Saccharomyces cerevisiae S288C: one gene and its partners. The gene in region 4 interacts genetically with the main gene of each other region. Each region holds a gene or a part of one and is shown on either strand. Other genes may lie near its edges. The genes, in order: SRP40, RRP1, DBP3 and REX4.

The links.
Region 1: mutations in REX4 (region 4) and SRP40 together harm fitness more than expected from each alone (negative genetic interaction), as found in Saccharomyces cerevisiae (2 studies listed by BioGRID).
Region 2: mutations in REX4 (region 4) and RRP1 together harm fitness more than expected from each alone (negative genetic interaction), as found in Saccharomyces cerevisiae (2 studies listed by BioGRID).
Region 3: mutations in REX4 (region 4) and DBP3 together harm fitness more than expected from each alone (negative genetic interaction), as found in Saccharomyces cerevisiae (3 studies listed by BioGRID).

Annotation. Positions count from the first base shown.
Region 1 is NC_001143.9:610,444-615,732, reverse strand, and holds SRP40 (Srp40p), read left to right. Parts: upstream 1-1,847; coding exon 1,848-3,068; downstream 3,069-5,289. Other genes in the region: PTR2 (Ptr2p), read right to left, coding at 1-3; DNA-binding protein SRL3, read right to left, coding at 3,468-4,208; PXL1 (Pxl1p), read right to left, coding at 4,667-5,289. UniProt on the Saccharomyces cerevisiae protein: Not known; weak suppressor of a mutant of the subunit AC40 of DNA dependent RNA polymerase I and III.
Region 2 is NC_001136.10:616,970-619,964, forward strand, and holds RRP1 (Rrp1p), read right to left. Parts: upstream 1,338-2,995; coding exon 501-1,337; downstream 1-500. Other genes in the region: translocon subunit SSS1, read right to left, coding at 1-201; mRNA splicing protein SLU7, read right to left, coding at 1,528-2,676. UniProt on the Saccharomyces cerevisiae protein: Required for 27S rRNA processing to 25S and 5.8S.
Region 3 is NC_001139.9:359,105-364,511, reverse strand, and holds DBP3 (RNA-dependent ATPase DBP3), read left to right. Parts: upstream 1-2,652; coding exon 2,653-4,224; downstream 4,225-5,407. Other genes in the region: 60S ribosomal protein uL30 RPL7A, read left to right, coding at 1-177; HNM1 (Hnm1p), read left to right, coding at 596-2,287; KXD1 (Kxd1p), read right to left, coding at 4,412-5,068. UniProt on the Saccharomyces cerevisiae protein: ATP-dependent RNA helicase required for 60S ribosomal subunit synthesis. Involved in efficient pre-rRNA processing, predominantly at site A3, which is necessary for the normal formation of 25S and 5.8S rRNAs.
Region 4 is NC_001147.6:180,058-183,158, forward strand, and holds REX4 (putative 3'-5' exonuclease), read right to left. Parts: upstream 1,371-3,101; coding exon 501-1,370; downstream 1-500. Other genes in the region: Ras GTPase activating protein IRA2, read left to right, coding at 1-252; AVO1 (Avo1p), read left to right, coding at 1,625-3,101. UniProt on the Saccharomyces cerevisiae protein: Exoribonuclease involved in ribosome biosynthesis. Involved in the processing of ITS1, the internal transcribed spacer localized between the 18S and 5.8S rRNAs.

The DNA of each region.
Region 1 (5,289 bases), on a different chromosome or scaffold from region 4:
CATTATAAGAGTTTATTAGTGATCTAATTCAAAAGAAGAAAAAAAAAAATAATTGATAATATTTTATATTGTTTGCAGTGGAGCAGCACTGTGGTATACCTTCTTTTTCAAGTAAGCAAGTAAAAATAAAGTAGGAATAATGCGTAATAAGCCAACCCTAAAATAGACACAAACGGAAAGGATATAGAAGATATGTACATCACTTATATATTTTACAAACCTAAAAATTGTACAGAACAATAAAATGAAATGTAGAATGATATGAGTTGTGGTGATTGGAGAGAGTAAAAGAAAGGATGATAGATGCAAGAAGTAAGGCCAATCAAAGAGCAAGTCACTCTACACAGCTATCATATGAGGGGAGTGATCGCCGTACAGATAAGAAACCCAACTTTTTTCAAGACGCCACCGCTTGTGTAATCGCCATTATATCGAGGAAAGCCCTGCGAACGTGAAGTGAAAAGGACGGTTGTCCTTTTTCCTGTTCTTCGAGGATCCTGAACAGGATGTCAGTAGGGCGGGCCTTTTCTTTTTATTGTGCAGGTACGCATGTTTCTTTGACACAAAATAGTCTGGATTCGCCAGCCAGTGGCACTTTTGATGCCATTTCCACCACAGAAAACGTCTGAGTATTCAGCCATGGGAGGGGAGTGTTGAAAGGGGAGAAGCAGCCCACTTCTCTGTCTTGACACAAACCGCAGATTGCGTCACGGTTCTGCGGACGCCGTTAGCCCATTGGTGTCAAGTTATTGCGGGATTTTTTGGTGCCGTACGCCGGAGCCGACGGAGGTAAGTCAGTTCGCCGCTGCCTTCGGCGCCGTTATCTTATCTCGCCAGAAAACTCTTAGCTTTTCCGGGAAAAAAAATGAACAATACTGATTGCGTTACCCCAAGCTTATCCCACGTAGTTTTGTGTCTCTTTCTTGGGCTCTTGGCGGCCGTACGCATATAGTATACTAATGCGGTAACGGCTACCTCCTACGTCTGTATCAAAAAAGTTCGCTCTGGTCCTATCAATATTTTCTCCCACACGAGGATTCTGTGGTTTTGCAGCCACATCTACAGGATGTTGACTTTTTGTTTGTTTACGTAGTTTGTTTCAACGCTTTCGAAGATGTGGCGCTGGTGCAAGTCATCTAAGTTGGTTACTGATAACAAATTGTGACAAGGATGTAGTGGATGCGTAGGAGACCAAAATGACATCTGACACAAAAAAAAGTAGATAACGAAAACAGGACAAAGGTGTCATTTTGTTTTGCCAAGGAGAATTATAATCTTAGTGTGAAGATACTTTCATTAGACACATAAATTTACGTTCGACACACTTTTTTCTTACTCCTCCCCTTATCAAGGATACCTGGTTGATTCTACGTCGTCCTCTTCACTTTGGTTAATTCACCTTTGCCCTTCACCTTGTGGTGTGCGGGTGTTGCAGTCATTAATGTTCTTTATCGCGAGAGGGGGTCTACATAATCTTGTTTTTTCACTCCAATAAGGCAGTTATAGTGAATTTGTTTTATTACAGAAGGTGTACCCTTCGTTCGAGTTATTTTACTCTTGTTTTGTAGTTTGTACATCTCTTTATGTCTGGATCAAAACGATAATTCGAAGCTTATTGCAATTTAGTTCTCTTACCCATTTCTTTACAACGGGCCGAGAAAAAGTGGAGTTGGTCCGAGGAAGCTTTGAACGGGAAGAGGAAAAAACCTTCCCATCGCTCGAGCATACAATTTTTTTTTTTTCAATGCAGGCTGAAAAAAAAAAATTCACTTGATGATTGAACTCATCGCACTTTTATACAAAGCAAGAAAGAAACCCAAGTCGCAGTACACTAAGAATACATAGCAATGGCTTCCAAGAAAATTAAAGTTGACGAAGTGCCAAAATTAAGTGTTAAGGAGAAGGAGATTGAAGAGAAATCTTCTTCTTCTTCTTCCTCCTCCTCCTCCTCCTCCTCCTCCTCTTCTTCTTCATCTTCCTCGTCCAGTTCTAGCGGCGAATCTTCAAGCAGCAGCAGCAGCAGCAGCAGCAGCAGCAGCAGTGACAGCAGTGACAGCAGTGACTCTGAATCTAGCTCATCATCATCTTCTTCTTCTAGCTCAAGCTCAAGTTCCAGTGACTCTGAATCTTCTAGTGAATCCGACTCTAGCTCCAGTGGATCTTCTTCTTCCTCTAGCTCTAGTTCTGACGAATCTTCTTCGGAATCCGAATCAGAAGATGAAACCAAGAAAAGAGCAAGAGAATCAGACAACGAAGATGCTAAGGAGACTAAAAAGGCTAAAACTGAACCAGAAAGCTCTTCCTCATCGGAGTCAAGCTCTAGCGGGTCATCGTCATCTTCAGAATCAGAATCAGGTTCGGAATCTGATTCTGACTCAAGTTCTAGCTCAAGTAGTTCTTCTGATTCCGAATCAGATTCTGAATCAGATTCTCAATCAAGTTCTAGCTCCAGCTCTAGCGACTCTTCGTCTGACTCCGACTCCAGCTCCAGCGACTCTTCATCTGACTCCGACTCTAGCTCCAGCTCTAGCAGCTCTTCCTCGGATTCAGATTCGGATTCCGACTCAAGCTCGGACTCAGACTCTTCAGGCTCGTCCGATTCTTCAAGCTCGTCTGATTCAAGTTCCGACGAATCTACATCTTCTGATTCCTCCGATTCGGATTCCGACTCAGACTCTGGTTCTAGCTCTGAATTGGAAACAAAAGAAGCAACTGCAGACGAATCCAAGGCCGAAGAAACGCCTGCCTCATCTAACGAATCAACTCCATCTGCTTCCAGTTCATCAAGCGCCAATAAATTGAACATTCCTGCTGGAACCGACGAGATCAAAGAGGGCCAAAGAAAGCATTTTTCCAGAGTAGATAGATCGAAGATTAATTTCGAAGCTTGGGAGTTGACAGACAACACCTACAAAGGCGCGGCTGGAACATGGGGTGAAAAGGCAAATGAAAAATTAGGTAGAGTAAGAGGTAAAGATTTCACGAAGAACAAAAATAAAATGAAGAGAGGTTCTTACAGAGGTGGATCCATTACATTAGAAAGTGGTTCATACAAATTCCAAGATTAAAAGAATAGGAAACATAAAACAAAACTCGTTGTCTGGAGTAATCTCCTTTTAAGTTGTAGAGTAAACAAATTGTAATTATAGCAACGATAGAAAAATAATAGTAATAAAGACAATAATAATAGTAACAAAAATGGTAACAGTAATATTTTGTATTGTTTTCCTTTGAAAAAAGAAAAAATAAATAACCTGGTATATAGGTAATCGCGTCACTAAATAATTAAGCATTCAATAAAAGTTTTTTTTAATTATTTTTTTTTTTATGTTTTTGGCTCCTAGAGGTGAATATTTTCTTTTTCTTTCTTCGCAGCTATATACTAAATATTAGTGATATAAACAGCAAGAACTATAAACCTAAAAGTAGCCAAAGCCATGTATATATGCGAAACCCGAATCATTAGTTCAGTCCGATGAGGACATCTTCAATAATGTATCGATAGCAACAACTTCTTGTAAAGAATTCTCCTGTGTACTTTGCGTTCTTCTATGAGATGACCAACGTAACGGCGAAACGTTAACGTTGTCTACCCTATTGCTTTTGGCATGTTTGGACGAAATTGCCTTCAAGAACGCTGCATGAGCGGATGAATCTTCCAGAGAACTCAGAAACTTTTTGGATTCATCTAACGAGTGACAGCGCCTATGCTTAGCGGCAAATTTATTACTATAAGAGCCCTTTCGTATCTTTTCCGTCGGAGGTGGAGGAATCAAAGCTACTTGCTCATGTTCCTTTGATAGCTTAACCATTGCGCAGTTGAGTCTTGATTTTAGCGTGCGTGAAAACTCCCGTACGGAATCGTCATTCTCTTCCTCGATAACCGCTGTGGGAGAAACCAATGGGGGCGTGGGGGATGGAAACATTTCTGCATTCTTAGACCTGGGTGTTGTAGGTGTTATTGGTCCTGGAAAATGAAATTGTACGTTGTATTGATATGTGGGATCCTCATTGCCATCGGGCGAAGGGGCAGATGTAGGAGAATCTTGCGCTTCACTTATTGAAGTTTTGAAATATTTCCTTGCCGGCGTCGCCAGAAGGCTGTTAGATTCAGTATCCAGGTTGGGAGAGATCAATTCGTTTATCGTTAAGACTCTCGATTTGGGAGTCTCATTTACCGTTTCCCAATTAGGTGTCTTAAGAAACATTATATTCGTCTATTATTTATCCGTTTGTGCTCAGGTTCTTCTTCCATCCTCTTGAAAATACAATAAAATAACGAAACATTTCATTGCTTAGCCTTTCCTTAAATAAATTTCCTTATTCTCTATTCTTAGGCTCCTGTTCCCTTTTTAGCTTTTAGCCTTTAATGCACCGGTACGAGAATGTCCAAAAATAGAAATTCGCTACAATTAAATGACGCGTAAAAAAACAGTTAGAGGTAGTTGTTGAGAAGAAGACAACGTAGTGAATATGAGTGAATGATGTCTTTATAACTAACTAACTAATGACGACTAATGTTGTTGATACCATAGATAGGCAGATGCCTTTTTCCTGCGCTATACAATTTATAAATGAACAAGGCTGGCTAATAATATAAAAAATCAAAATCTTATTAAGAATGTTATGAAACATGTGTGCTAGGAAAGACAAATGGGTAGTGATGCTAGTTGAAGTTGATGAGCCTCGTTCTCCTTTTAGAGAGAGTATTGTTCTTATCATTGCTTGATGTAGCATTGTCGATACCTTCCTTCAAGAGAGCTTCCATGTCGTGATTACCGCACAATGGAATTTCCCCATTGAATATATAATAATCATTAGTAATGGCAGTCTTGCATAAGAAACAGTTTAGACAATCCACGTGGAATCGTTCCACCTTATCATTTTCCAGACATTCACCCTCTATGAAATTTGAACAAACCTTACAAATACTGTGATTCTCCTCGTGATAGTGCTTTTGACAATATGGTTCATCGCCTAGAATATAACAGGGAACATGTTTATTGAATTTGATACCACATTCAATGCATTTAAAACATTCACGATGCCATTGACCCGACAGTTCGTTTTCCTTTTTGGAAAACATTCTTTTCCCTGTGACTTCCAAGCCGCATGCTCTGCAAGGTCCCTCCCCAGGCGGATATTTAAACTCAATGGGCTCCGTTTCTTTATAATCTGCATCAGAGCTGTATCTCGTAGTGCCGCCGTTAGGTAATACATGAGAGTCATTAGATTTGGAATTATCAATTTCTTCTCTCAGATCTGTTATGTTGCGCTTATGCTGCAGTT
Region 2 (2,995 bases), on a different chromosome or scaffold from region 4:
GGCGTAACCAATGATACCGACTGCAATAAAACCAATACCAACAGCCTTGACAATCTTGGTGTATTCCTTCAAATCAGGTTTCTTACACTTGGCCAAGAATTGAGTACCTTCTCTGACAAATTCTACAGGTGCTTCAACCAGCTTTTCAACCTGGTTGTTGCTCTGCTTTTTCTCTTCACCTTTTTCACTAGCTCTAGCCATTTTATTTTTCAATGTTATACGTGATTTTATCTTTGGTAAACTAGCGTAGTGCGGACAATGGACACGAGTTATGGACAATACACGCCAATCTGTACTATTTTCCTTGTTTAATTTAATCACTAGTATTCTTTCATTTCAAAACGAAAAAAAAATAAAAAAAATGTTGCGAGGAAAAAAAGGCGACGTGTTTCGCATTCCGCCAATATCCACAGAGGGTAATGAATTTTTCGTACTATAGATATACAACTACAATTTATATGAGCGACTTACGATTACTTACATACTACCGCCAGGAAGAATCAAAATCCCTTCCACTCTTCCTCTTCCTCTTCTTCAGATTCGTTACTGGAATCATTATGTTGCGTTTCGCCTTCAAGAATATCCCAGGAAACAAGTCTGGTGTCACTGAATAGGTCTTCTTTGATCTTCTCTCTCAACACCTTACTGTTATTGTAATCTGCCACGATATCTTGGAAAATTGCGATAACATCGGCTAGTGGCGTTTTTTTTGCGCTCTCTGCAATTTTGCGCATCTCTTCCTCTTTGTTTTCCTCGTCTTCATCGTCTTCATCTCCATCTTTAAGCAATCTTTCCCATTCGTCCAGCAGAATATCGACGATATGAATTGGAATCCCTGTGTAGACCTTTGGACTTCCACTCAGAGGTAACCACCTCAACACTTTCTTAATATACTCGTCGACTAATTTTTTGTCCCAGTTTCTGGACTGCAAATACTTCAATTGACTGAATAATACCCTTCTTATCAATAGAAGATACTTATCCAACCTATATCTGTCAATGTTAAACCATTCAAAGCACATGACCTTCCAAAACCCTCTGCTAAACTTTATAAATGCTTTATCGTTTGTGGTCAACTCATCTGCAGTGCTATTGTCCTTAGGATCAAAATATAATCCATGCAATTCACCTAATTCATTGGCTAAACGTTGCTGAGGTCTAGGACGGTCACTGAACCACATTGCATAGTAAAGACCCTTCCAAAGTTTATTGAATTCTATTTGTTTGTTCTCCTTGAACTGTTTAGCGGTTAGATATTTCTTTAACGCTTCGAGTGCATTTACCCTGGTTTTTCTGTTGTTCGACGATAATTGTTTAACAAAGTTGGAGGTCTCCATTGTGAATGTTCTCACTCGATTTTTTAAGTGTCTATTTAGTGTATTATGCCGTGAATGCGCAAGATATATACGTATACTTAAGAATGTAGTTTATATTTGACAATTTTTTTCAGCTCATCGCATTTTTTTTTCTAAATTCTTTACCTCTCGTGCTCCGTGACTAGGATATTGGAAATTCAAATGATATAACTTAACCATATAAATCTTTTAAGTGGTTCCGTTGTTCCTCAGATTGCTTTGTACCATCTACTTTCCTAGCTTCCAGATCTCCAATGCTGACAATCTTGGGCTGCTTGGTTTCTTCTTGTTCCCGTTTTTTCTTCAGATATTCATATTTAGTAGGATTGGCGACTAAAACATGTTGTACTTTTTCCTTATCCTCAATTTCATCACGTATACCCATTTCCTTAGCGTGAGATCTAGCAAACTGGTTCAATTCGTTTAATTTTAGGCCTTCACCTGTCAAATGTCTGCGGAACATTTTTGATTTTTCATCAACTGCGCCCAGTGTTTCAGTTTTGTACAATCTTGATTTAGGATCATAATTACTCTCCGTTGAATTTATGTCGTTCAAGTAAGCAGCCTTATCTTCTCTCAATCTCGTTGATGTCCTATACAACTGAGAATTATCAGCATCATCTTTCTTCAATGAACCTACGGAATCCTTGTAAAGTTCTAACTTCATTAGTTCTATCTCTTCATCTGTATCCCATAGTGTTTCATCAGTTTGGGATTTGTCTTTTCCTTTTATTTTATTTCTTTTATCACGCTCCCACTTACTTATCAGTTCATTGTATTCTTTCCCTGAGTAACCGTACCATCTATCTTTTCTGGAGTCCCAGTCATCATCAGTAGCTCGTACTAAAACTGTGCCATTATTTTTTTGTGAATTTAAATCGGGAACAAGCTTCTGCATCTTACGAGGTTTTTCCATGCAGTCTTTCTCCTTATGCCCTGCTTCCCCACAATTCCTACAAAATGACAGCGAATGAGAATCTCGGACGGACATCTTCTGGGGTCTGATTAGTTTGAACTCATCCTTTATACCCATACCAATTTTTGGTTCTGAATTATTGTCAATATCTAAAGCACCCCCTTTTGCTTTTTGCCTATGATGCACCAAGTAGTCGCTTTTTTCTCCTCCTTCTGCAGTGCTCGTATCATCATTGCCGGGCTTCTTCCCTTCTTGTTCTTTGGGGGTATCCTTATAGTACCATGGTTGATTTCTAATATACCTGGGGATATGAATATTTTCATTTTTTTCTTTTGCTTGTTGTAGTTGCCTTTTATTTCTGTTAATAGTGCTTCGATTTTCGTTGTTTCTGCTGTTATTATTCATTATGTAATCCGATCGTTGTATTTCAGTGTAACTGGTATCTTTTTCAGAAGTGCTCGATAAATGATATACGCAGACTTGATTATTGATTTACTTGAAAGGCAAGCTATTCAATAGATAACGAAGGAGTTATCGTTATGGGTACTATTATTGTCTTTCCGCGTTCGAACTAGTCACTAGTTGTTCCAATGAAATGTACTTTAAAAAAACTCGACAACTTCTCCAATTAAATTGAAGAGTACGGCAGCTGAGGTTACCAACTCTTTTCTATATTTTAATTGTCACTAGGTATAAAAATCAAAAGTCTAGAAAAATGTATAAA
Region 3 (5,407 bases), on a different chromosome or scaffold from region 4:
GAAATCATCACTGTTGGTCCACACTTCAAGCAAGCTAACAACTTTTTGTGGCCATTCAAGTTGTCCAACCCATCTGGTGGTTGGGGTGTCCCAAGAAAGTTCAAGCACTTTATCCAAGGTGGTTCTTTCGGTAACCGTGAAGAATTCATCAACAAATTGGTTAAGTCCATGAACTAAACTGGTTGAAGTCACATTACATATAACTACTTATTTTATCTAAGTCCTATATAGTTCTGTTATTCACTAGTTTGTATATTGTACCTCTAATTTATCTTATAATTTCGTCAGTAATGACTTATAATTGGCTTTATTTTCTTCTCTTTTTTTTCACATGCGCAGAACCTATATAACGAAAAAAAAAAAAATGAAAACTGAAGATAAGCGGCCTTGACTTCTCTAAACTGCCGATATTTCAACGAAAGTTAGCCAACTTATTTATAAAAGCCTTGAATACCAACAATTGGAAAGAAGGTGTCTGTGCTTATCATATATAGCTTGCATAAAGAAAAATTATAATATCTTCGAACTTCCATAGAAAGAATATCTTTCAGTGTTAACTGGCTCATTTACTCAGAAATTAGTATTTTGAAGAACGATGAGTATTCGGAATGATAATGCTTCCGGTGGCTATATGCAGCCGGATCAATCTTCGAACGCTTCTATGCACAAAAGAGACTTAAGAGTTGAGGAGGAAATAAAGCCATTGGATGATATGGATAGCAAGGGTGCTGTAGCAGCAGATGGTGAAGTTCATCTAAGAAAGTCATTTTCGTTGTGGTCAATTCTTGGTGTTGGATTCGGTTTGACTAATTCCTGGTTCGGTATTTCTACATCGATGGTTGCAGGTATATCTTCTGGTGGACCCATGATGATTGTTTACGGTATAATTATTGTTGCCCTGATTTCTATTTGCATTGGTACCTCGTTGGGTGAATTATCTTCCGCATATCCGCACGCCGGTGGTCAGTTTTGGTGGTCTTTGAAGCTTGCCCCTCCTAAGTACAAAAGATTTGCGGCCTACATGTGCGGTTCATTTGCTTACGCAGGATCCGTGTTCACAAGTGCTTCAACTACGTTATCCGTTGCTACCGAAGTGGTTGGTATGTACGCTCTGACGCACCCTGAATTCATCCCAAAGAGATGGCATATATTCGTTTGCTTTGAATTGTTGCATTTGTTCTTGATGTTTTTCAACTGTTACGGTAAATCCTTACCTATCATTTCATCTTCCTCTCTATACATTTCCCTACTATCCTTTTTCACAATTACAATTACTGTATTGGCATGTTCTCATGGAAAGTTCAACGATGCAAAGTTTGTTTTTGCCACATTTAATAATGAAACAGGTTGGAAGAACGGCGGTATCGCCTTTATTGTCGGTTTGATTAACCCAGCTTGGTCATTTTCGTGCCTTGACTGTGCAACCCATATGGCGTTTGAAGTTGAAAAACCAGAAAGAGTTATTCCCATTGCTATCATGGGAACAGTCGCCATTGGGTTTGTCACTTCCTTTTGTTATGTTATCGCTATGTTCTTCTCTATACAAGATCTGGACGCTGTCTTGTCTTCTACAACAGGCGCCCCAATCTTGGACATTTATAATCAGGCATTGGGTAATAAATCAGGTGCGATTTTCCTGGGTTGCTTGATTCTATTTACCTCTTTTGGTTGCGTCATTGCTTGTCACACTTGGCAGGCAAGGTTATGTTGGTCATTTGCCAGGGACAATGGTCTTCCATTATCCCGTTTATGGTCGCAAGTTAACCCACACACTGGTGTACCTTTGAACGCTCATTTAATGTCATGCGCTTGGATAACCCTCATTGGCCTACTTTATTTGGCTTCCAGTACGGCTTTTCAGTCCTTAATTACAGGTTGTATTGCATTTTTATTGTTATCCTACATCATTCCGGTTATATGTTTACTTGCTAAAAAGCGTAACATAGCTCATGGTCCATTCTGGCTTGGAAAATTTGGATTTTTTTCAAACATTGTTCTTTTGGGTTGGACTGTCTTTTCTGTGGTCTTTTTTTCCTTTCCACCAGTTTTACCTGTGACAAAGGATAACATGAACTATGTTTGTGTAGTTATTGTTGGTTATACTGCGTATTCGATTCTTTACTGGAAATACAAGGGTAAGAAGGAATTCCACGCTTTAGAAGAATCTGAGAACGAACAGGCTGAATATAGTAATAACTTCGATACCATTGAAGATAGTCGAGAATTTTCCGTTGCGGCCTCTGACGTTGAACTCGAAAATGAACACGTACCGTGGGGAAAGAAGTGAATTTATAGTGTTGATCAGTCGACCGTTATTTATTTTAAGTATATTATTTGCATAGAAGTAATAAAAGTGAATTTTTTTTAATGGTTTGTTAAGCCATTTTAGACGAGGGACTAAGATATTTCAACCTAAATATCCCTCAGGCTTTGCGCTCTTGAAAGCGATGTGACTGTAATTCAAATTTCTTGAAATATTTTTGCGGGAAAAAGATGAAAAATTTTTCACCTCATCGCATAAGAAGCAAATAAAAAAAAAATATTAATAATAGATAGGCAACAATATAGCAGCTCAGAGATATAGCTTAACTTCATTTTACAGCCTTTTAACGAAAGCATAAGTATTAACAGTTTGATATATAGGGGATTAAAATGACAAAGGAAGAAATCGCAGACAAGAAGAGAAAGGTTGTAGATGAGGAGGTAATTGAAAAAAAGAAGAGTAAGAAACACAAAAAGGATAAGAAAGACAAGAAGGAAAAGAAGGATAAAAAGCATAAAAAGCATAAGAAGGAGAAGAAGGGTGAGAAGGAAGTGGAAGTACCAGAGAAAGAATCTGAAAAGAAACCTGAACCTACTTCTGCAGTGGCTAGTGAGTTTTATGTTCAGAGTGAAGCACTAACCAGTCTTCCACAATCTGATATTGACGAATATTTCAAGGAAAATGAAATTGCTGTTGAGGATTCTCTGGATCTAGCCCTACGTCCGCTATTATCATTTGATTATCTTTCTTTAGACTCTTCCATTCAAGCAGAAATTTCCAAATTTCCAAAACCAACGCCTATTCAAGCCGTAGCCTGGCCATATTTGTTATCTGGTAAAGATGTTGTTGGTGTTGCTGAGACCGGTTCTGGTAAAACATTTGCTTTCGGTGTTCCAGCTATCAGCCATTTAATGAACGATCAAAAGAAAAGGGGCATACAGGTTCTAGTCATTTCCCCAACTAGAGAACTTGCTTCCCAAATTTATGATAATCTGATTGTATTAACTGACAAGGTTGGTATGCAGTGTTGTTGTGTTTATGGTGGTGTTCCAAAGGATGAGCAAAGAATTCAGTTAAAAAAGTCACAAGTGGTGGTTGCTACACCTGGTAGATTATTAGACCTATTGCAGGAAGGATCTGTTGACTTATCTCAAGTTAATTACTTAGTATTAGACGAGGCAGACAGAATGTTGGAAAAAGGTTTTGAAGAAGACATCAAGAATATTATCAGAGAAACTGATGCGTCCAAAAGACAAACTCTAATGTTTACCGCTACCTGGCCAAAGGAAGTCCGTGAATTAGCTTCCACGTTCATGAACAACCCAATCAAAGTATCTATTGGTAACACGGACCAACTAACTGCTAACAAAAGAATTACACAGATTGTTGAAGTGGTGGACCCACGTGGAAAAGAAAGAAAGTTATTGGAACTGTTGAAAAAGTACCACTCTGGTCCAAAAAAGAATGAAAAGGTCTTGATTTTTGCTCTTTATAAGAAGGAAGCTGCTCGTGTTGAAAGGAATTTGAAATATAACGGGTATAACGTCGCAGCTATCCATGGTGATTTGTCCCAGCAACAAAGAACGCAAGCATTGAATGAGTTCAAAAGCGGGAAGTCTAACTTGTTACTGGCCACCGACGTTGCAGCAAGAGGTTTAGATATACCAAATGTTAAGACAGTTATTAATTTAACTTTCCCATTGACTGTGGAGGATTATGTCCATAGAATCGGTAGAACTGGTAGAGCTGGTCAAACAGGCACAGCACACACTCTGTTCACTGAACAAGAAAAGCATTTGGCTGGTGGACTGGTTAACGTTTTGAATGGTGCCAATCAACCTGTTCCTGAAGATTTGATAAAGTTCGGTACTCACACTAAGAAGAAGGAACATAGCGCTTATGGTTCATTCTTTAAGGACGTCGATTTGACTAAGAAACCAAAAAAAATTACTTTCGATTAGGGGTTTTTTCGTTTACTTCAATCTTGGATTTTCTTCTCTAATAATAGCCAATCGAGAGTCGGAGATTTATTAACAAAACACTGTATATTACTATTATAACTGCCCACTTTCATTTATCATTAATATTATTTAAATTGACTCTCACATAGTATACATATTTTCTAGAAAAAAAATACGATTCAGTATATCAGCAGTCATGGTCTTCATTCAATCTGCGCTCAAGAATTTTTTCTCTTGCCTGATTAAACTCTATGGGGAAATCGACACGCAAAGCAGCGTTTAAATAGTCGATGTTCTTTCTTGAAGTTTCTAAATCACGTTTTATTTTTTTTGAAGTAGCCTCACCATTTTCAAACTTCTCTTGCAGTTGAGTGAGCCTGCTCTTCATTTCATCAATATATTGTTTAAGCTCTAGGCTTTTCGAATTTATAACAGCGGAGGTTTTGGTCTGTAGAGAAAGTGCCTCTGAGAAATCAGCAGAATCAATAGATTGTTTTAGAGAATCAAAAATATATCTAGAAACGTCAAATATTGGACCAGGATCCTGGGCATCCGTGGGTAGCAAATTGCTTGACTGAGGGATATCGTTATCTAGGAACAAATCTTCGTCAACGTTAGATTCATTGTCCATTTCATTTTGCTCCACAACATCTGAAACGTTACTTCCATCACTATCGAAGCTACCACTTGAGTTGCTAGTGGTGCTGATCGAATCATGGAAAGAGCTGGACATTTCCTCTGTTATAGGAATCGCGTAGGATTGAGAATTAATACTGGGTGTTGAAGAATGAACAGCCGAAAAAGTCTCTTCATCATCATTTTCCTCCGATATTCCGGTCACCATTGTTCTTCACTAAGTGTTGGTAACCATTATTTTGCCTCTCTTATTATTTTACTATAATATAGCTGCGACTTTTCAGTGAAAAACGTTCTTTTTTAACTTTTTGAATGGCTGAATATAATCAGTAATACAAAGGAGATGAGAGGGAAATTGTCTTGGATATAAAAGAAATATTTGAATAAAGACATAATAATTATTTAGGTTATTTAGAATATGTCATCTTATGTAGTTTGGTTCAATACTAACTACTAAATAAAATGAAACTCATAGAGATAATGGTTCTATAGCATGCATATATGAAAAGGAGAAGAGGTAAAAATGAGAGAATATGCATGAACATAT
Region 4 (3,101 bases):
TCGGATTGTGTTCCACTTGCTTTCGATATTTTAAACTTATTAGTGACGCATTCAGAGTCTAATTCGTTAGAAAAACTTCACGAAGAATCCATTGAACGTCTAACCAAAAGAGGTTTATCGATTGTGACTTCTTCTGGTATATTTGCGAAGAACTCCGACATGATGATACCTTTAGATGTAAAACCTGAAGATATCTATGAACGTAAGAGAATAATGACAATGATTTTATCAAGGATGTCATGTTCTGCTTAGAGGTGTTACATAAACTAATGAAAGAAATATCAATATCTATCTGTAAGCATGAATGTACATATCTCATGTTAGGGTTTTCTTATCGCTAATTTTTCGCAATTTGTTACGTGGGTTGCTTTTATACAGCTACAATTTTTATATATTCTATCGTGTAATGAATGGCTCAGTAAATTCAAGCGCCACATAGACTAATGTACATACCAATGCATTTTAATTGTAAGAATAAAAGGGGCCATTCATCTACCGTCTTAGTTGAAAGTGTTTCTGTGAATTTTTTCAAATTCCGTTTTTTCCTTTTTATATAATAGCATGGTGGCACGAGCATCTTCGACTGAAGAATGCTCACCTTCTTGAATGGAAATTTTTAAAACCTCCCTGGTTAATTTCTTTAAGCTGGGTGTTTTACCCTTAGCATACAACTTCCTGAATGGGAGGTGTCTTGAAGTGTCCCTGAGTAGTGACTTTGGGTGGGATAACATCAATGCTTCGAGATCATGCTTTAAAGCGTGCCCTACAAGAATTCTACCTTCCAGAATATCCGCAGTCTTTTTTTGAGCTTCTTTGAATGTAATGGCATTTTTCATATGCTCTGGTTTAATACCACTAACCCAAGTTCTCCATTCTACAACTTTCTCTCTTGGCTTAACAAATTCATCGAGGACGACATGTCCAAAATAATTTACGATTGATATTCTAGCTAACGCAGACTCTTTACCCTCGGGACCAACGCCTACAAATTCACAATCCATGGCGATGTATTTCCCAATTTCTTTACTCTTATTACTATTAATACGAGTATCTTCCGAAATACCCACTTTTACTGGCTCTTTAATAGTAGTACTAGTATTTGCTTTATTTGGGTTGAATTCAAACACTTTTCCCTCGAGCTTGTCTTTCTCATGCTTACTAATCTCCTTGTTCATGTTATATACCATGTCCATAATTTTACTGCCGTTTTTGCGCTTTCGAGGGGCATATTGGGTTGTACTACTGACATTTACTGTTTTGCTAACTTTCTTAACGTTTCTGATTTTCCTATTTGATTGCTTATTCTTTCCATTGGAGGTAGGATTGCTTTCGGAGGCTAATAGTGCCTGCCAGTTTGAAGAGAGAGCCATTAAAACTGTACGCTATCTACTTTATTAAATCTGTAAACGTCTATGAAGCCTCTAGAACCAGGCTTTAAATGGATTGTGGTTGCGATGAGGTTAGTTTAACTTTTGAAATTTTTCTTTTTTTTAGCCGACCTTACATATCAGCCCGCGTCAAAAAATATACGGTATAATAATTCTCAATAGATACAGGCTACTGAACAGGAAAACTAAATAAAACAGTGTTTGTAAAACCCCCACCACACCATAATAAGACGATAATGGACACGGTGACGGTATTAAATGAACTGCGGGCTCAGTTTCTACGAGTGTGTCCGGAGAAAGATCAAATGAAAAGAATAATAAAACCGTACATACCCGTAGATGAATTCAACACAGAGCAGTGCTTAGATTCTTCTATCCGTGAATTATATATGAACTCAGACGGCGTAAGCTTGTTACCTGAACTAGAGTCTCCACCGGTATCTAAGGATTTTATGGAAAACTATGCTTCATTAGGGAAAATGAGGATAATGAGGGAGAATGAAGGCCAAAAAGGAAAGGCTAACCAGAATTTAATAGGAGCAGAGAAGACTGAAAGAGACGAGGAAGAAACACGAAATTTGCAAGATAAAAGTGCAAAAAATACTCTGATAGTTGAAGAAAATGGAACACTTCGTTATAATCCACTTAATTCATCTGCGTCGAACTCTCTTTTAAATGATGACGACCATACCAGTGGAAAACATCACAAAACTTCCTCAAAGGAAGACTCATATTTAAATAGTTCGATGGAAATGCAGAAGAAATCTAGTAAGAGATCGTCGCTTCCTTTCGTGAGGATATTCAAAAGTCGAAGGGACCACTCAAATACTTCTGGAAATAAAAATGTCATGAATACAACTAATACAAGAGCAAAATCATCTACTTTGCATCCACCTGGTGCTCGCCATAATAAGAAAGGCAGTAAATTCGATATGAACTTCGATTTCGATGAAAACTTAGAAGAAGAAGATGATGACGACGACGATGACGAAGAAGGTGACGATATACACTCTCAATTTTTTCAGTTAGATGATGATTTTGATGCTAAGGGTTCTGGAGCAAGTCCAGCCCACAAAGGCATCAACGGCATGTCCAACAATAAAAACAACACCTACACAAATAACAGAAACAGCATCAGCATTCTTGATGATCGAGAGAGTTCAAATGGCAATATAGGAAGTGCTTCAAGGTTAAAATCTCATTTCCCCACAAGTCAAAAGGGGAAAATTTTTTTAACTGACAATAAAAATGATGGACAAAAATCTGATTCACTGAATGCCAATAAAGGTATACATGGAGATGGAAGCAGCGCCAGCGGTAACGGATCGGTGAGTAGGGACGGTTTGACGGAAACGGAAAGCAACAATATTTCCGATATGGAATCTTATATCAATGAAAAAGATTTAGATGATTTGAATTTTGATACAGTGACCTCAAACATAAACAAAACAGTATCTGATTTGGGAGGACATGAATCTACAAATGATGGAACGGCGGTCATGAACAGGGATTCAAAAGACAGCCGCAGTAATAGCAATGAATTCAATGCACAAAATCGTGACCGAATCACTCCTGGCTCATCATATGGGAAGTCCCTTTTAGGATCTGAATATTCCGAAGAACGTTATTCTAATAACGACTCGTCAACCATGGAGAGCGGTGAAATGTCTCTTGATTCAGACATGCAAACTAATACTATACCCTCTCATTCCA